Linked DNA regions of Oreochromis niloticus. The protein of the gene in region 1 purifies or fractionates together with the protein of each later gene. This does not show direct contact. Links are inferred from orthologs where the notes say so. Each region holds a gene or a part of one and is shown on either strand. Other genes may lie near its edges.

What was found. The genes of interacting proteins can lie anywhere in the genome.
Region 2: the proteins of cxxc1a (region 1) and setd1ba purify together in Homo sapiens (affinity purification with mass spectrometry; 11 studies listed by BioGRID and IntAct, counting the BioPlex papers as one, with this or other methods). This does not show direct contact. The link is inferred for Oreochromis niloticus from reciprocal best matches to the Homo sapiens genes CXXC1 and SETD1B.

Annotation. Positions count from the first base shown.
Region 1 is NC_031984.2:4,924,649-4,934,860, reverse strand, and holds the start of cxxc1a (CXXC-type zinc finger protein 1a), read left to right. Parts: upstream 1-5,053; 5' UTR 5,054-5,314; coding exon 5,315-5,317; intron 5,318-10,212. UniProt on the Homo sapiens protein: Transcriptional activator that exhibits a unique DNA binding specificity for CpG unmethylated motifs with a preference for CpGG.
Region 2 is NC_031972.2:22,366,300-22,377,117, forward strand, and holds the start of setd1ba (histone-lysine N-methyltransferase SETD1B-A), read right to left. Parts: upstream 4,968-10,818; 5' UTR 4,079-4,967; coding exon 4,018-4,078; intron 3,760-4,017; coding exon 3,608-3,759; intron 3,347-3,607; coding exon 3,248-3,346; intron 2,958-3,247; coding exon 2,687-2,957; intron 1,850-2,686; coding exon 1,728-1,849; intron 1,341-1,727; coding exon 252-1,340; intron 1-251. Other genes in the region: rho-related GTP-binding protein RhoF, read left to right, coding at 6,706-6,957, 10,495-10,582. UniProt on the Homo sapiens protein: Histone methyltransferase that catalyzes methyl group transfer from S-adenosyl-L-methionine to the epsilon-amino group of 'Lys-4' of histone H3 (H3K4) via a non-processive mechanism.

The sequences.
Region 1 (10,212 bases):
AGATTTCAGTCTGTATTTCAAACCCGCGTGTTTTCTACTCTACTCAACGTCCAAGATTGCAGGTGTGTTAGCAGTAACGAACATGAAGAAGCAGGAAAAGTGACCAGAGGTCATTAATTGTCACAGCCTCAGTCATGGCTGCCCTCACTAGACACATTCAACCCAACCAGAAGCAAGAAAACACAGCAGTTCACATCATAAATGAACAACAACACAACATAACCACAATATGGGCATTGACGCTGTAACTTAACACATTAACATCAACATGAAACGTCCCATGATTCTCTGCAGTGGCCTCTCTCCTCAGGCTGCGACTTTATGAAGGTAAAAGTTTGAATAATAATAATAATGGATTGCATTTATATAGCGCTTTTCTAGGCATCCAAAGTGCTTTACAATTCCACTATTCATTCACTCTCACATTCACACACTGGTGGAGGCAGCTACAGTTGTAGCCACAGCTGCCCTGGGGCAGACTGACAGAAGCGAGGCTGCCATATCGCGCCATCGGCCCCTCTGGCCAACACCAGTAGGCTGTAGGGCATAGGTGTCAAACTCTGGCCCGCGGGCCAAATTTGGCCCGCGAAGCCATGCCAAATTACTATTAGAGCTGGCCTACTGGTATTATACAGCTAATATATATATCGTTTAGTATTAAGCTTTGCTTGTTCCATATTCAGTTTTTCAGCAAAACTTGTTTGAGTCCATAAGAAAAGATTCATTCTTATATCTGGAGGAAGATTTTTTTTTTCAATAAATATTAATGTTAGCCCACGACTTTGTTCCAGTTTTGAATTTTGGCCCACTGTGTATTTGAGTTTGACACCCCTGCTGTAGGGTAAAGTGTCTTGCCCAAGGACACAACGACCAGGACAGAGAGAGCAGGGGGATAGAACCGGCAACCTTCCGGTTACAGATGAACTTCCCAATCCCCTGAGCCACGGTCGCCCCACAATGTCTTCAACAAACATGAAAAAACAAACAAATACACAAAAAAATTTAAAAAATCAGCTGATTTCCCCGGGTGTACTTTGAATTTGACCATCCCAGCAGTTTGAACATTGCCACAGCAGCTTTACTGGGAGAGCTGACCTTTCCTGTCATCACAAGCTTCTTGAATGTCTTCCTGCTTTCCAAACACTGTTTTCACCATAAAAGTCTAAATCCTGCCGAGCTTTTAGTCTTTTTATAGAGAAAAAGTGAGGTGGATGTGAAGGGATTAAGATTCCTGCTGTAAGAGTAAATCAGCTGCTCTGTGTTCTGTTGAAGCCTCGTCTTCATTTTTATAGATCAAGGCGAGAGTAACCGAGGCTTAGAGTATTCATTAAGGTATTTGTCACATAGATACAACGCCATATAAAACAAATATAAAAGAGGTTATTTTCACGAGGCACAGAGATTTAGTGGGGTGTTGATCACAGGGTGGTTAGCAACGTAAAAATGTTGTTTCTTGTTTTGGTTTTTGAACTTAAATAGTTTTATGTATGTACCGTATATGAGTGTAGACTTGTATGTAGTTAAACATGTGTATTGTGAGATTATATGTCGAACTCTGATCATTAATTTGCAAATTATAGAATTTGAAATAAGGAGGTAGAAACAAACAGGTGTAAACTTCATCCTGCTCCATTAAGAGCACAAACATTGTTTGGATGTAGAGATATTCATGACCACTGGATGTCTTTACTTTGTTTTTCTGGTTATTTTAGTTATATTTACATGTTCAAAATAAACTCTATTCTGTTCTATTTATTTATGAGCTTTTATCTTATTTTTTATTGCACAGAAAAAAGATGAATCTTTAAGAAACAATGGCAGAATTTTCTCTTCGGGGTAAATCCTACACCTGTAATTTTTTTTTAAAACTTTTTGTGTTGCAAAAGGAGAAAAAGGAGGCGAGGATTATCGGGGAGACAGAGGAGGAGGAGGAGAAGAGTGAGAGATGGGAAAAGGACACTAGCATTAAACAAAATATTAACTTTATAAAAAGCATCTTAAATAAGCTTGAGCTGCATCATTTATCAGCAGATATTTTTAGCCTCTTTGTGGGTTTTCTCTGATTTTCCCATGAGGTCCAGCGCTCTCTGTAATGATTTCGAGCTTGTGTGTGTGTGTGTGTGTGTGTGTGTGTGTGTGTGTGTGTGTTAAATTACTAAAGAAATCAAAAGATTGGCTGTGGAGCATGAAACATCCGTGTGCAGTGGTCTGTAACTCAATGATCCAGGCATGCACTGAGTGCTTAAAGCCTTCAGTCCAGCCATGATGTGAATATGAATGTGGCTCTGATGGATGGTGGGAAAGTCCCGCTCTGCTAATAATCAAAAGACTGCATGATCAGCGACGAGGCTGGAGACAGCATCAGACTCTCACCTCACAATTATTATGAATATCAGTGAAACTCCTTTATGACTGTAAGGAGGTGGAAACTCTGCAACCAGATACCAAGAGAACAATCACACAAATATTTACAGTATCATCATATCTGTAATATAAACATCCACCCGTCTACTCTCTTCACCTCTTGGAGCCTGTCCCAGCTGTCACAGAGTGAGCGGGTATACACCCTGGACAGGGCGGCAGTTTAACACCAAGAGACAGACAATCCTTCCCCTCACATTAGAACCTCTGGCCAATTTAGATTCACCAGTTAACTGAACACGCGTGTCTGAGGGAGGAAGCTGGAGAGAAGCCACACAGACACGAGAAGAAGGCCCCAGCCGCTGGTTTTTAACCCAGGACCTGCATGCTGTGAGGCCAACCACTGCACCACCCATCCAAACACAACAACATGATATCACGCTGGCTGCTCACAGTTTCACATCAGAGCTCAATGAATGAAACACTGAAGTTGAAAATCTCTGCTGACATACATCGTTTAAACAACACGGCGTAACAGCGGTGAGTGTAATCCAAAATCATCAACCCTTTGAGAGCTGGATTCAACGCCTCCCACAACTTGTTATAGATGTCTTTACGGAAATGTGGTCACTCGTGTGGTAAAGATAAGGATAGGTTATGTGAAATCTGTTTAAAAAAATACCATTATAAGCTTTGAGTTTACTTTTCCACTTCTAATCAGAACACTGTGATGTTCTGCAGTGAACCATGGCTAACACACCGAGACCCAGAGTGAAACTGCTCAGCTCGTGGAAATGAGTCGAAAAACTGCGATAAACAACATTTCAGAAATTTTTCAGAGTGTCGGTCATAGATGAAGGGAACTTATACGGGCATGAGAAACACTTTTAAAGAGCCTTTACAATTATATACCTGTATAAAATATAGTGGAGACATCGATGACCACACTCAGTCATTTTAGTTGCTCAAGTATCATCTGAAGGTTAATAATTATGGATTATGTCAGTATGAGTTCATCCTAGCTCCCAGCTTCAGGTACAGTTATGTTTCTAACAGGTGAGTCTGCAGGAGGCGTCACCTGAACGCTGCAAACATTCATACACATAAAGAGCCCAAAGCCGGCTTCTGTTTTGCCTTAATGATGCATTCGCTGTTTAATTTGTGATGTAAATCAGGAAAACAACAGCTTTACTCAGCTGTTTGAGATATTTTATTTCACATTTTTTCAAATGACTTCTCAGTTTGAGATGTTAAATAAATTTACGTATCCATTTTGTTATTATTACACACTTCAGTGAAATGCAGGTGTCTTTAAAACACCTTAAAAAACTGTTAAATATCAAATCCTGGAAGTCACTTAATCGCAGAGAGAAAACGGACAAATAAAGAGAAGTTTCTCACCTGCAGCTTCTTTCTTTCTTTCTTTCTTCCTTTTTATTCGTCAGTTATGTCGTGCCGCGTCTGAATAAACACTTTGCTGTCTTTCTGTGTGCAGCGTTCACATGTGTGTGAAGACCACCGCCTCCTCCGCTTCCTTTAAAAGCACACACACACAAACACACACATAAACGCACACACACATGCAGCAGGGCCGGCTTCTCCTCTTCAGGGTCACCGGGGCAGCAGTCAGCTGCTGGGCCCCTGTTTAACTCTGTATTATTTTCCAGAAGCTCTGTAGAAATGAAGAGCTCACACGATCAGCAGATGACAGATGAAAATGTTCTGAATAATATAAAATAATATATGTTTGATTGTAATTTCTGGTGTAATGAAATTATTTTAAAAAAAAATTCCAGTGATTATTATTAATCAGATATTAAAGTGTTCATAATAATTTAAAACATGTTTACAATTAGAAATAAATCATTTCTTTTTCTGGGAACTTTTTATTGACATTATAAAGTATAAAAATGCTTAAAAATAAAGGATATAAAACATCCAGAAGCTCTGCTGAACACACATGAATGACTGAAGTGATGCTGTGTTTACCAAAAGCAATACGAAGCAGATGTTTTGATAATGAAAATAAAAACAAGCAGAAACTTTTAGAGAAAAGTAAAGCTAATTAACTGGAATCCATTAGAAATCGCTTCATGAGGTCGGCATTTGCGAAATCTGCAGCTGCTGCAGGACTCGGGAGTAATTCCAGATGTTTCAGCAGATATTGAGCTGCCGCGGAGGTTTGAATGTGCTTCACTGCTGCCACCTGCTGGACGCAAAGAGAACTGCACTTCATGATGAAACAGTCCAATGGTGAGAAAGGAAAGCTCCAAACATCAGAGCCGAGTTTATAATGATTGTTTCTATTAAACAACATCAGAAGATTTCAGACCAAAACAGTCACAAGCTGCTCACAAGTGAGCCGTAAAATTAATAATTAATAATTAATACCTGTGGCAGTAGCAGCTGGGACAGGTGTTAATCATTTAAAAACAGCAAACACATGTGCATGCTCATTCACATGATTTATACAGCCTGTTTTCCTCCTGCAGACCTGAGGAAGGATTGCTCCTGAGAAACCTTCTGTTCACTGTGTTATTGCTGTGTTCACAGACTGGAGTCCAAAGATCAGAAATCAGTTTTATTCTCGTGTAAAGTGTCGTGTGACCCTTCAGACCGGGGGCACTGCAGGTCCCTGCACTTTGGTACCTCTCAGTCTTCACGGTCTTGTCTGCAGGGTTAAACCTAAAGATACCTCCAAAAACCCAAACGCGTGTTCCAATGTCACAACCTCCCCTCCAGCAGGTGGCGACACACACCCGCCGTTTGTTTGTGCTCCTCGGTCAAAACTACAGAAGAGGAAAACAATAATGATGCGGACACAAAGAGATTTTTGCAGATTTTTGGTGAGCTTGTAAAACGAGCGAGAGGCTGCAGCTTCAACCGGAGAAGCGACTCTTCTTCTCCTCCTTCTCCTTCTTCTTCTGCGAATTCAGAGCAGCTGCAGCAGCTCATGGTGAGTCCGGGTTTGTTTGTCATGTTGTACTGATGGAGGAGAAGAGAGGAGCAGCTCCCTTTTTCTCCATCCTGCAGCCCAAACGCGGGCGGCTAAAATCGGCAGAAAAGTGAACGGAGTCTGGTCGGAGCGGAGCAGCAGAGGCGTGAGGAGAGCTCTGCTCCTGCAGGAGGTTAAAGCTGTGTTCAGGGAGGGCTGGAGATGTTGTCACGTGGTTCGTGCAGACCGCATGTGGAGAAATCAGCTGTTAAATCGCTGCACGGCGACGGGTTTCAGGTGTCACCAGGCGGGTTTTTAAAGGACACTTTAGTGGTTTTAATGCAGGCTCGTCTGTTTCACATGCTTCTGTTTTCTTTTAACTTGCAGTTAGTTCCCACAATCAATTCATGATGTAAATAAAGAGGGAAAAATGAGTAACACACCACAGCTTTAGTCTGATGTCGTTGTGTGCAGTCTTTGCTTCTGCACACCTGTGGTGGCTCGGACAGGGAAATATTAGTTATTAATGCTAAACAGAGAATGATATATTGATTGATTTGAATGAATTTGTTTGGACACTCTAAACCAATGTAATACAGGCTTAGTGCGATAACAGACATCATAGAGTGACTTCCAGGAACTGTTATGAGGTCTAATGGTCCATTGGAGTGAACGGAGTTGATGTGACTTTCAGTATTCGGGGTTCTGTTTCAGTCCCGGCTGAAGGTCCTGAACCTGGTGTCGTGCTGTCTGCACAGAAAAAAAATGAAACTACGCATTACTTCCTTGTTTTTGTGGATATTGTTGAGTTATAAACAGATCGAATGAGCCTCTGGGTCCTGGTTTTGTGTCTGGACTTTGGTCTATGGGGTGTTTAGTTAATCCAGGTGTTAATCCAGAGTATAGATTAAGTGTATTAAATAAAACTGTTCTTAGACCTGAAACTGGTCTGATTAAATCTAGATTTTTTATATTTTCCAAATAAAAGCCGCTCCACAGTCTCAGTAGTAATCTAGTCCAAGATCCGCAGGTCTCAGAGGAGTACTTTTTAGGTCATGAACCGGGTCTGGAGTTTCCTGTCACGTTTCTTCTGAATCCAGGTTCCTCAGGAGCGCATGCGCAGCGTATGCGCAGAAACATTGGGTAGGATGATTTGAGTAGAATAGATTCGCAGAACACCCCGCCTCGTCTTTGTTGTATTTCTGGTTTTCACGAGGCTGCCACAAACGATTATTTTGATAGTCAACTAGTCACCGATTATTTTTGCGATTAGTCGACTAATCAGATCATGCATCCATTGGATGTAAAATGTACAGCTTATTGCATCAGCATGCATCTGCTCTTATATAACTATCAGTAGCTTATAGTTGAAGTGTTTAAGGTATGTGCTAACTAAAAATAAAGACAAGATGATGGTTTATTAAACCTTTAATGAAATTTGCAGATTGTCTCAGTGAAGTTTAATAAACTCAGCGTCTGCTCCTTGCTATCTAAAATATAACAGGACATTGGAGTAAATTCTACCATCTCACACTTCTGTTTAATCAGTTTTCTGTGTGATGTTTATTCAGCTGTGGGAAAACTATCACTTTAATCTCCAAAGGTTGAATCTGTTCATCTGGACGTAGCGTTTTCAGTGGGAGAAACTTACCCAAGTGACTTCTTCAGTCTCAGCTGACTGCAGGTTTCCCCAATCTTATAAACAGTACATTTGCATAATGACTAAAACCAGCCGACTGAAGATTCAGCCTCAGATGCTGACAAAACAGGATTACTCCTAAAAGTCTGCAAAAGGCTTCCGGGCAACAAAAATCCTCCAGAAGGCACAGCACCAGCTGCTTAATGAACAGGTGAGGCAAACAAATTTTACCATCGACATGCTAAAATCTCAAGAGGAGCGGATCCGACAGAGACTGACAATGCTTCTAGACGAGAATACTCTTAAAAAGGTGTTTGACTTCACTGAGAAGGCTCGTCTAGCACAGCACAAGAAGACTAAGACCAGGCAACAAAGGAAGTTTGACTTACTTGTTGTATGTTGGAAACCACAGCAAAATACGGAGAGTGCCCTCAGCAGCCAGAAGAGACAAGGATGCGACATGGAGGATGTGGACAAGTGGGTGAAGAATTTGTCTGACAGACAGCTCACCCAAGCAGAGAAAAACATCCTTGCTAAAGGGTTGAATTTTGCTGTCACACCGAGACAAATCCCTCTAGTGGAGCTGATCACAGCCACAGAAACAGCAATTCGAAACAACAATTTTGCAGAAGTGGAAGCAGAGCAACTACGGACGAAAGTTTCGGCCTGTCTCAGCAATTCAAAGCCCCCAGCATCCAACATCACCATGGAGGAGAGGAAGGCACTCACATCACTTAGTAATGACAACAACATTATCATCCTACCGGCAGACAAGGGTAGGTGCACAGTTTTGCTAAACCAGAAAGACTATCATGAGAACATTTTGTCACTGCTCAGTGATGAAAATACTTATGAGCCCCTGAAACAAGACCCAGGAAGTGGCTACAGGAAGAGGGTGATAGACTGTCTGAAGCAGTTGGAACAAGACAAGGCTATTGACCGGACCTCATACCACAGGCTGTACCCAGGGGAGTCTACACCAAGTCTGTATGGTTTACCGAAAATACATAAGCAGGTTGCACCTTTAAGACCGATTGTCTGCATGATCAACTCGGTCACCTATAACATCTCTAAGTTTCTGGCTTCGATCCTCAACCCGCTGGTGGGCAGCTCTGAACACCACATCCAGAACACCCTGGATTTTGTTGAGAAGGTGAGAGATGTCATTATGGAGGCAGATGAAACCATGGTCTCGTACAATGTTACATCTCTCTTCACTTGCATCCCAGTCACGGAAGCGTTGGAGGTAGTCCGTAAGAGATTACAGGATGACACCAACCTCAACAACAGGACCACTCTCAGCATCGACCAAGTGTGTTTGCTTTTGGAACTGTGTCTTCATTCAACCTACTTCACATACAAGGGTCAGTTCTACAGGCAGAAACATGGGTGTGCCATGGGCTCCCCAGTTTCACCCATCGTGGCCAATTTGTACATGGAAGAAGTGGAAAAGAGGGCGTTGCTATCCTACCCTGGAACACCACCAAGCCATTGGTTCAGATATGTGGATGACACCTGGGTGAAAATCAAATCTCAGGACGTACTACATTTCACGGACCACATTAACTTGGTGGACGGACACAACAAATTCACCAGGGAGGATATGAAAAGTGGCAGGTTGGCCTTCTTAGACTGTGAGATTTCCATCAGTAATGGGGGACATCTAAAAGCTGACGTGTACCGTAAACCTACGCATACGGATCAGTATCTAAGGTTTGACTCTCATCATCCACTGGAGCACAAACTGGGTGTCATCAGGACGCTACAACACAGAGCGAACACCATCCCCACTGACACAGCGGCCAGGGAGGCAGAAGACAGCACATCAAGAAGGCCCTGAGTAAATGTGGTTATCCCAGCTGGACTTTTGTCAAAGCTGGGAAGCTCCAGCCGATCCAGGAGAGAAGGTCAACCGCTGCCCAGGCGAAAACCTGTAGTGATCCCATATGTGTCAGGAGTATCAGAACAGTTGAGACGCATTTTTTCTAAACACCGGGTCTCTGTGGCTTTTAAACCCCAAAACACGCTGCGCCAAAAACTGGTCCACCCCAAGGATCGGGTCCCCCGACACAAACAGAGTAACATAGTGTACGCTGTTAAGTGCCAGGAGGATTGCCAGGATTTATACATCGGGGAAACCAAACAACCTCTAGCGAAGCGGATGGCACAACACAGAAGAGCTACCTCGTCAGGCCAGGACTCTGCAGTTTATTTACACCTACAGGCCAGTGGACACTCTTTCAATGATGAGGATGTACACATCCTGGACAGGGAAGAACGCTGGTTTGAGCGCGGAGTCAAGGAGGCCATTTACGTGACAAGGGAAAGACCATCTCTGCATCGAGGAGGGGGCCTAAGGGTACATCTGTCACCATCTTACAATGCTGTGATTGCAGCCATTCCCCAACTCTCTGTGAATGGTACTCATGACCATTGATCAGTGGTTGTTGATCAATGGTCATGATAATTTGCGCAATTATGATTAAGGAACTGACCTCCCAGCCCATTGTTCCTTCAGTGGGCTGGTTTCAGTCATTGTGCAAATGTACTGTTTATAAGATTTGGGGAAACCTGCAGTCAGCTGAGACTGAAGAAGTCACTTGGATGAGTGAGGAAACGTTTCTCCCACTGAAAACGCTACTGAAAACGATGTGCCGGGAGTTCACTGTTCACGCCGGCTCTAGTGAGCCTTGAACCCCGGCTAGCTATCAAGCTGGTGGGTAACAGACGTCTCCGAAAACATCGGAGCACTTTTACAAATATGTGATGTCTTGATAAACCGAGCAGATATTTGAAGTTTACACAGCTACATTCTCGCCTGAAAATATGTTAAACGTTTATTTTGTGACCCAGAAAGAATAATAAGAGTAATATTAAAGCTAAGTAGCTGCCGCCATTGTTGGAAACTGGAATTGGCTGGGCCACGCTATGAATTCTGGGATAGGTTGGGCCATGAAGGATACACCCGACCCATCCTTCAAATCTGGGGAAATGAAGGACGCATTTGTCTGCCGCGTTTGGAGGAGTCTTCGAATTTGGAAAGCCTTCGCCTACAAATGCGGCCCCTGAATTTGGACACAGCTACGATACCAGAGACTGCTTCTTCTTCTTCTTTGGCGTTTAACGGCAGCTGGCATCCTTGTACATGCAGTGCTGCCATCTTCTGTTTCAGTCCGTTATTACACTCTTAAATCCTGCTGTTTATTCCTGCATCTTTTGGGACCTTACAAAGCGTCAAACGATTCGTCAACTATTAAATTAGTCGGCGACGATTTTG
Region 2 (10,818 bases), on another chromosome or scaffold:
ACTACTACCGCCGCACACTGAAACTAGACCCGACTTCCTGTGTCCTCTGTGTAACTGTCATTCACAGCTGCGCGTAAACATCAGCACCGCGCTTCCATCAACTTAATCAGTGCCATTAATGAGAGGTAATTGAAGCAGCATCTGCACACACCTGTGCGCTGTTTCTTGTCAAATGTGACAAGCATGCGGGTAAATATGGCGCTATTTGGACACAAATATCAGGGTATTAAAAAAACAAATATTTGCTTTACCGTGTCCATTTTTTCAGCGGGAGAGTGGCCTCCAAAAGATCCTTCTTTCTCTTTCTCGTGGACAGGAGAGCTGATTCTCTTGATCAGTGAGGCAGTCCCGGGAATTGGCTCTTCATCTTCCGAGTCCGGCAGTGGCGTGGGGCTGATGTCCTCCAAACCTGTGCTGGAGGGACGGGAATTTTGCTGACCACCTTGAGAGCCGCCTGTGTAAGGGGGGATTGGGGATAGCTGCGAGGACGAGGAGGAAATCGGACTTCCCTCCATTCGCACCTCGTTGTCCGAGTCCCGCTCGTCCAGGAACGGCAGCAGTTTTGTCCTTTTCTCCTTGAGCAGCATCTCAATGCGAGAATCCAGGCTGTTCCGCTCTGGATCCAGAATGGGGGAACCGGGTGAAGGGCAGTGCTCTGGCGTTTGAGGAGGAGGGGTGGTTGGATGAGGAGCGGGCTCTGGTGGCGGAGGCTCTGGGATCGGAGGAGTCTGTGGTCGCTCCTTGGCGGGCAAAAAGTCAACAGCAGCCGTCAGAGGCGGCTCTGGCGGTCGGAGGTATTCACCCTCCCTTTGGGCTGGGTGATGGAAAGCTGGTTCTGCTGGAGGGAACGCAGGGGGCAAAGGGGGCTGGTAGGGTGAGAAAGCAGACTTGAAGTTCGGTGTAGCGGGGGGAGGCGCTGTGTAGTTGAAAGAAGTGGTGGAAGGTGGAGGTTCAGGTGGTGTGAGCTGGTGCTGTTTGAAAGGAGGCTGCTCAGGCGTACTTCGATACATGTTGCTGCGATACTGAGGCCTCTCCGGTCTCCGGTTGTACGCATCCTGAAATTTACTCTCGTGTCGGCGAGATTTGTAACCTCCGGAGCTCTCAGGACGGCTGGATTGGTAGGCAGGCGTGGACTGCCGACTGGAATAACTAGAGTCCTGAGAGAAGGGCGTACCAGCCTGGCGAGGGGTATGAGGGGTTCCCTGGGATTGTGGCGTATCCTGCCTTAGGCTGGAGTAGCCGGTCTCCAAGGTCAGGGGGGTGGAGGAACTGCTGGGTGGCAATGTTCCTCCCCCAGCAGACACGCCGCTCTCTGATAACCTGCGGATGGGCTCGCAAGCCTTAGAGGACACAAATATGAAATTGTTAGAGGCAAATTCTAATTTGGGCATTTTGTCGAGAAAATCTTTAGGTTCAAGAAGATTCTTTAAATCAGTTTCTCAAAGAACTGAAGCAACTAAGATTTTTTAAAATCAAAATAGCAAGCTGGTAGCTCAGCAGTGTGAGGACATCTCAAGACACAAAGCCACAGGTTTGACTGACTTTAAGTTGAGCTCCTGCTCAGGTGTATCTTGAACCATTTCTACAAAGCACAATAAAGCATCTACACAAGAGTGTGCAACAGTTCCTCCAAACTGACCTTCAACAAATGAGCACAAAACTACTACTGAATTACTATTTAACTCTAAACTGCACAACCTAAGCTTTATTTCTTTTTGTTTTTTTACCAGTAAGGCTTCTGCCAGGCTTCGAGGGGAAACTTCTCTGGCCTCCTCTCCACCAACAGGCAGCGTCCGTGGAGTGTAGCTGCCATTCATCAGGAGCTGGAAGTACCTCAGGCGATTCTCACCTGCAGAACAGTAAACATGTCTGGGTCTGATGCCAGGTTTACAAAGCCAACAGACCTCATCGGGCATCATTTAAGTGACAGTGATTATTCTCCAGTAGCTGAACTCCAAACTAAATATTTTAAAGCAGCGACATGTCATTATGTTCTGGGATAAATACCACTGATCAGCATATTTTAATTTTAAAAAAAGCATGCATGCCTTTAGCATATTGTTAAAAAAAGCAAACCCTAACTGCACTTCTTAAAAGGACATCAATCACACTTAGGGAAAAAATGCATCAATTTGGGGTAATACTTTAAGATATAGACATTACTACGGACAATGAAAACAGTGCAAGCTCTGAGTCAAAATATTTGCCAATATTTACATCATTAAATAATAAGCAAAACTGCTAAAGTGGTATCTTTAGATGCATTCAAGTTGCTGTTTTGCATCAGTAAAAAACATAACAAGACAGAACATGCATGGACATGGAATTCAAACAGTGTTAACAACTGAAAAACTAACTTCTTTTCTTAGTTTTAAGTTAAATGCAAACTATTTAAAATACAGAGGACTCGGACAGATTGGCTTGTGTTTGTTTGCAGGTCTGAAATTATGCACAGTGGGAGTGCACAGCACCGTCAGCTCTGGGCTTGTGGGAGCAGGCTTATATTCAATGAATGAATTCAATTATCCACGTAACCAGGCAACGCACGTAAATGTGCACACGTGAACGCTGTCACCCTAAAGGAAACACTTAACTTGTCATATTTTTGTGCTCCCGATTCTTATAACACATATGATTCTGATTTTTTTTTTTCCTTTTTTTAAAGCAAGCTCAAGCTCTTGTTTACCTTTCGGGTCCAGCTCCACGTGGATGATGTTTCCCATAACAGACGTGTTGTGAAGCGACTGCACGGCCACTTTGGCGGCTTTCACACTCTCGAAAACAACTTTGGCTATTCCCAGGTGCTTCTTGTTCTTCGGATTGTACAGGATCTCGACCTCCTCGATTTCTCCGAATTTTTTGCACATCTCGGTAAGAAATGTTTCCTTGATGTTGTCGTTGAGCCTGGCGAAAGTCACCTCCTTTGGAGGCACGGGGCCGATGTAACACTCATCGATCTGGAAGAAGAATGACAGGAGTTAATGTTGCACCGCGTGTGTGGAGGGTCATTTCTGACAGCTGAGATAACAACTGCTAGGAGAAGTTTCAAAGATCGCGTTGATGCACTCGGTCGAGTCCGTAAATGCAGGCAAGCATCAGAGCAGAGCGTATTATTTTGGTCCCCGACAGGCACATTTTCACTTCGCATCCCGGAGATGAGTGAGAGGGGGGTGTGTCTGCAACTTTTGACAGCACCCCGTATCCGCAAGGAAAAGTGTGGCATCGATCTTCAAGCCAGAGTGGATACCTTAAATTTTGGCACCGGCAGATCCGTCTCTTTGTACTTAGTCCACAGACGACCGATCCTGGGGTCTCTGACGATGTCCACCGGTGGTATCCCGGGGTTCTGTGGGAGAAGAGGGGGGAGAGACACACACACACACACAATGCCGTTATCCATCCCATTCACAGCTCCACACGCTACTAACTTGTTGCAAAGTTGTCCTGCGTCGGTGAATCAACACGAACACCTCCGGGCACCGTGTTCAAGATGCTGAACGTGCCCGTGACCGACCCACGGCCAGCACAGCCACATTGTAACCTATCATGGAGGTCGGCTACTCGGTTACTATTGTAGCCGCTCCGCCGCGTCAAATGCGGCACTTACGGGCATGCTGAAAGTCTGTCCATCGTAGCGATACAGCTTGTGAGATCCCTTCTTTAGCGCCGGGTCGATTATCAACTTGTAACTTCTCCAGTGGTGACTCCGCTTCTCCGCCGAGCCGCAGACGGGATGACTGTCCATGCCGTTCGCCAAACCTGAAACGACAGGCAGCGACAAGGAGAGGAGAGCTAACGTTATCGGGAGCCAAGCGCTAAGCACGGTTCTCCTACCAGCAAAACCTCCCCCCTTTCCACCTCCTCCAACACTTTAAAACAGCCAAACGTTACAGATGCATGACTTCGGTGGCGGGGGTAACCCCAAGCGAGAGCGAAAAATGGGATCTAGCGTATATCCCACTTAGGGAAAACAGGCATTAGGAGGGCTGGAGAAAGAGGAAAAAAGAACAAGCTTACTTGAACTCTGCTTTCTGCCATGGTCTTCGTTCAATCTGTTCCTCTCCCCTGGCTTGGACATGGTTCGTCCGATCGAGTGTTGTTTTCTTTTTAATTGATGAAAAGACGAAATCGCTTTCCTTTCGCCGCTTACATTACATGATTTAGCTTAAAGAATACTGCCTCCTTTTCGGCGAGAGCCAACACATATTGTGTGCCTCTGGTCTGTAGCTGCTTGTCTCTCCCACAATACACCGCTAGGCTTGCCCACCTCCAACGGCACTTTCGTTACAAACTTGCCTCCATGGCCGCAGCTTATTTAACGCTGCATTAGCCTTACAATAAAATAAAAGTGTTTTTAGGCGGGCCACAAAGAAACGCTCCCATTTATATCCGCGACTGAATGAGGTCTGGCGATAGTTTAGTGTCTCAAAAATCCTCTAAACGACATATAGTGTTGAATCTACCGGCTGTATTTACCTAACTGGCAAACACAAGGCAGACACAGGGGGTAATATCTTCTTAACTGCCACTAAAGGGCTAATAAAACTGCTTTGGTGGCGAGCTTTTCTGTGCGGTATTGCGGCCGTTTGTAAATTCAGGACATGTCGGTTGATATTTTAGGGTAAAAGAGTCATTACGGCGACTGGTGATGGCGGCTAATATAAAAATGTCAAACACGGGAATTGGAATTTTAATACGAACACTCGCTTGGCTGGCAGCGCGATTTCGCTACCCGGCTATATAACCGTTGGAACGCGGCGGTTACAGCAACAAACTAGTGCCAAACCGTCGCGTATGTTCCCCATTTGTCCTCTTTTTTTAAAAAAATTATTAATGTTATGCTAGCATTTTAAAAAAAACGGTGGCGCTTTTATTTATATAATAATAAACCTGACTGTGCTTCTCTTAGTTTGTGAATTAATTCAGTGGAGGTGCGTTTCTATCGGACAAGCTGGGTTTTGTTTGACATTGCCTGGTGCTGTTTGCAGTGCTCGGGCAATTGGCTGGTTAACAGCGGTAGCTCGACGAGCCAATCAGAGCGCAGCAGCAGAGGAGCCGTCTGCTATTAGAGGCACGGCTCAGGAGTCCTTCAACAGAGAGCAGAGAGAGGGGGCTGAGCGCTCTCGGCAGCCATTTTCCTTAAACAGGACTCAATGGCCTATATGGGTTTCCTTTGTTCCAAAGGGATCTTACATTTGATTTCCTCATCTCTCACGGACTATGATAAAACTATGATTGCTCCTTTTAAAGGATTGAGAAGAAGGAAGAGAATGTGCTGGATGCAATTACCCCGTGACATTTTGAGCCTTTTTTCCTCTGCCTTGGAATCCATCTTTGTCTTAACTAGGTCATGGCACACCCATATACCAGTATTTATATTTCTTAAGTGAAAAGAAACCAAAAGTGTTGTGAATAAACAGCTTTATGCTTTTGGAGATGTTTAAAATGATAGAGGTTGGGGTGGGGGAAAAAAAACACAAAGTGACAAAATGTGCAATGGCAGCTTGCTGGCATTGCACTTATGGCCTTGTAGGATATGAGTTGCAATGAGTAAGTTCAAGTCTTTTATCATAATTTATTTTTAAATTTAACTAATTAATGTAAAATGTGAGGCATGCAGTTACTGTTATTAAAAGTATGTCTGTCACTTTTGTCTACTTGAGCTATGTGATCACATAAAAATGCTGCAGCTTTGTTTAAAAAAAAAATATGTCCACTGGCATGCTGACATTAAAACATACACTGCTAGAGGTGCAGGGTTTGTAGCATCAGTGCTCCTCAGATGACTGAGGAGCAGGCCACGGAGACCTAATGGCCACTTGTTAAATAGTTTGTTGACTGATAATCCATTTGCTCTGATTAACAACTTCTCCCACTTTTCCTCTCACAACAGCAACGCTTTAAACACCCTGGTGTCTCCTGTTGTGCCCTGTACTGCAACTGTGGAGACAGCTTGAATCGACTAGGTTTGTGCTGTCCACCTAAGAAAGAGCCAAATGTGCAATTGTCGACTTGACCTTGCTTCAAGGGCATAATTTAAATTTAGAAAGAAGCCCACTTAGGAAGTCCCCCTTCACCACCACCATTTTTAATTATTTATTTTTTTAACAGCTTCTACAGCGATTTTTTTTTCTTTTAAAAACACAACCTCAGATTAAAGAGATGGAGGGAAAACTTTCAGGGTGAAAATATTTACCTCAGCAGTTAACAGGCCTAAACGCAGGGGCAGGAGGAATGTTTTCAGCTCCATCTTCGGATCCTCTAATAATGGCATTAATAAGGGGTGGGAATGCGTCTCCTGAAAAGGAAGGAATCCATTAGCACGAAAAGAGAGCTCTTTTGAGAACTTTTTTTTTTGATCAGTGGTAGCTTTGCCTCTCTCAGCCAGCGAATATGCATCTTCAAGCATCATCTGTGTGGGCAATATGCAAAACCATCTCTTCTCTCTCCCTGAAGACAGGATTGCAGTCGATAATAGCCTCTCTTGCTTTTTTTTCGACATTTCTAGCTGATCTACACTTCACTTAAAACTGCAAGGATAATGTTTTGGACAGGTAATGGATTTTTGAGCTATTTCACTCAATTTGCCAGCTTTATATGTCTACATTAATAAGAGAGCACACATCAAAGAAATAGTTGATACAAAATGACTTCAGCGTAATTGTTAAAAAAGGGAAAAAGGAGTAATTGTAACCCACATTTTTAATGATATTGCAAACTTACAGGCAGTATTCAAAACATGTAATCCAAGTCTTAAACGAGCCACAAAAAAAGAATCTTATGGGAAGAAATCTTGTGTTTTTTAAACTGCTTCCCCCTCTCCAAACAGAGACCTTTTTAGTGGTATGTAGGCAACACTTGTTCAGTGGTTTTCTCTGCTGTTCTCTGTCTCAAAATGGCTTCTTTACAGACAAAGGAGAGCACTGTGCCGTGAAAAAGCTGCTGCGCCATAACTGGGTGAGGCTCAAGAGAGCGGCTCTTTTTTCCTTTTTTTTTTAATCCGAGGGTAATTTCAGCAGGAAGTAACCACACGAAGCGCCACTGGGGGGTGATTATTTTTTATTTATTTAATCCAAATTGGTGGCTGTTTTTACACGAATATAAAAAGAGAAGAAAAAGACGACAACTGCGTGTGAGGAAGGAAACTTTCATAAAACCGGCGTAGTCAGGCGGTCGGTTGCTAGGCTGACTCGCGCCGAGAGCTCGAGCGCATTCGTTGGAACCCCCTCCCCCCCTCCTACACACCGTTGCCATATAAGGTCACGAAGAATCCACTGCAGCGGCAGCTCTGTTGTTTGGTATCTAGGCGAAAATAGCACGCAGCGTGCGCGTGAGCTCTCGCTTCAAAGTCCAGCGGATCAACGGCTGCTTTACCAGATTAGACAAACAAGATATGAACCTCTTTTTTTCGGTGAAGGAGTTAAATATACAGAAGGGGAGGGTCTTTATTCACGTACGTAAAATGGATGGGGCGCGGGAGGGTCTCTAGATACACCTCTTTAGTTAAATGGTGCAGTCTTTCACTGTCTGTGTCAGTGTGCGTGTCAGAGGCCTGTTTTTCTTGTTATCAACTGCCGGCTCTAAGCTGCCGGGTGCGCGCATTCAGGTCACAGGGCTTCAATACCCTTCCCCCCTCTCTCTCTCTCTATGTTAAGCTTCTCCTTGCTCACAGCCAGCCCACGGTTACAGCTATGTAGAGGGTTTTATGGATGCGTTTAAAACAAACAACAAAAAAGTGAAAATGTGACATTACTTTGGAGATGGATTTGCGATGAAATCCACACCAATTGGGTTACTTATAGGCCTTTTGTTTTTTCTTTTTTCTTTTGTTTAAAAAAAAAAAAAAAAAAAAAAAAAAAGCTTCCCGAGTGGGTTGTGCCCGTTCAGCGCTGCCGCTGACAGTCTGGAATATTCCACACAGAGAGGACTGGCCTTTTTCCCCTGCAGGACAGCTGTCTCTTTCTCTTCGGAGTGATAATATTTTAACAATTGTTCTTTGTTTATTAACTGATGAAAATGGGCTGTATGCGTGTGGATATGTAAGAACAATTTAATATCCTTTTAAGCCATATGTTATACTGCCAGTTACACCTTGTAAGTCAATCAAGCACTTTTAAAAAAAATTACTTATTCAACATATTTCTTTTAAAATTTATTGCGCTAAATACTGTACCAAACTGACAGGTACAGTGCTGTGTCTATTTTTTTTATGGCTTTTGTACTTTCAGCTTTAAATCCTGACGGACTGAATCAAATCAAGCATTCCTCGGAGTCGTGTTTTTCATTATTTATGGGCACAGTTGGCTTTTTCAAGGATTTTTTCCCCTCGTCCCCCTGCAGAGATTGCTTGGTACTGTAAAAAAAAACAACCAAAAAAAACCAACCAAGCCAGATTTCTTCTTCTTAGCTCTTAAATATTTGCATGTGTAGTGTATTGCTGTACTATTCCACATAATGATCTGTAACATACTCTCATTGCAAGTTTTATTGCCTCTTGTCTGTCTGTGTGTGTGCGTGTGTGTTTGTGAGATGATGAAATAAATAGACTATGCATTAATTTTATTGTTTTCTTGTTATGGAAACTAAAAGGAGACTTTGTTGAATTTTTGGGCCCATCCTTAAAACTGTGTCTTAGCTGTGATGACACAATATACGGGATGTTTCACATGCTGTGGGGTGAGATTACTGGAGGAATTTTGAGTAGAAACACGTTTATTTTGTGCCAATTTATTCACGTTTTAAGAATTACATTTTTGAAATGGAGGAAGGGTGTCAGCTTTTTCTCTTAAAGGGACAGGTTGCTCACATTTTCAGCACTTCCATGATCCAGCTAACCATATCATTAAACACCCGTGGGTTTAATTTGACTTTTTAGTCTACATCAGCATGTTGAAGTGCCTTTATGGCAGGGGAAATGCAGTGTTTGGCGTTTTGTGATCATATACGGTTGTTCCCTGTGATCTGCTCTCTCCCGACACCCACAGTCACTGATAACCAGTCATCTACACTGCCAATGAAACACGTTCCCAAACCTGCTTTCTCACACTTTCTGCTGTGTGTGTCTTTTAATATCTAGCCACATCAGTGTTTAGCTCTAGTTTGTAACACTCACCCCTGTGACAAGATAATACACCCAAAACACTGAAAAATACAAAAATAAACTTTAAAAAAATCCTCACGCCCTTGAAAAGATTCATCACATTGTAAAAAAAGACCAAAAAACCCCACATCCATAAACTGCACCCTGGGAAGAGAGAAAATAGTTTGTCCTGATGGTACCATCTGTGATGTCACAGCAGAGAAGCATTACTCACATCCTGCTGAGGACTCAAAACGATCACATGGTACAGAAAACACTTTAATTTTAAAGTAATATACAGTTATTTTTGTCTAATCTGGAAGCGCTGGTTCTCAGTTGCTCTGTTTTCTCCTCAGATATATTAAATATTCTACCTGGAAGCTGCTTGCATGCTTCCTTAAGGTTCCAACTGATATATCTTTTGAGCCTGAAAGTGGAAAAGATAACCAAAACAGGCTTTTTACCTGGAAAAAGCTCACATTTAGATGGGTGCACCCAGTGACCCACTCAGTCTCACCAAGACAATGCTTCACACCTCCACAGGCAGGAGTCTAGAAACCTCTGTAGTGACAGCTGTCAGCGTCAACAAAAACCTGCTGATCCTGCATCAGTAGGATCAGCGTGAAAAGTGAGCATTTCTCAGTGTTATCCCTCGCACACACACACACACGCCACGCGGTCAGTGGGGGTAGTGCTTCAGACTGAGTACCCACCCAGAAAATGAAATACGCAAACACATTGCGGTAGAGGAAGTAGGAGCAGCCAGACTCAGTCGCTTCACATGTGTAATTTAGCGAGAGAGCGGCATGCTTTCAGTGAACAGGCTCATAATAGGAGAGGAGAGAAGTGGGGGGTCAATTGGAGGCAGACAGTGTGACAGGAACAGGAAGTGGTGAGCAGAGTGAGCTACCTGGTAAAACATGAGGCTTGGCTGTTCCTCACTCTGCCTGACACTCCCTGTAAATCATCTCAACCCTTCAAAAAATAGACTCGCTAGGCTGTGTCATGTATTTAAGTTAAATCTGGAGGGAGCACCTGCGTGACACTTTGGAGGCGAGATGACACAAAACGGTGCCGGGAACGGCACCAAGAAAAAGGGAGATGAACTTAAAATTGTAATTGTGGGAGATGGAGGCTGCGGGAAAACATCTCTTCTGATGGTTTATGCCAAAGGTGATTTTCCAGAGGTAAGAAGAGCTCCCGTGTCACTTTTCACTCATTACAGCTTTCTGAATTTATTAACAAAGTTCTGATGTGTGACTGTAACCTGTCACACCCAGCACTGTAAGCTGCCTTTCCAAAGATTAACGGGGCACACCTCTGAAACACTTCAAATCGGTATAAATGAAGGGATATATAAACATGACGCTGTCTCTTAAAGTTGAAAATCTTTTTTTTGTGTGTGTCAAAAACAGAAGTATGCACCTTCAGTGTTCGAAAAATACACCACGACTATCACTCTCGGAGGAAAAGAGATAAAGCTCAACCTGTATGACACAGCCGGTAAGACCAAAAAAACATCAACGATCATCTCTGTGATTCAGGATTCTTTTCTTCACTTAAATTCCACATTGTATGAGAAGACATCAGGGTTTATTTTTTAGCTCAGTGGCCACATTATTTGTCCTCTGGGTGGAATAAAACAGAAGTATTGTATCTAATCTAATGTGATTATCAAGCGAGAGGAAGAGAAACACCCTTTTATTTTTCTGTTTTTTAAGATATTAAAGTTCAACCAC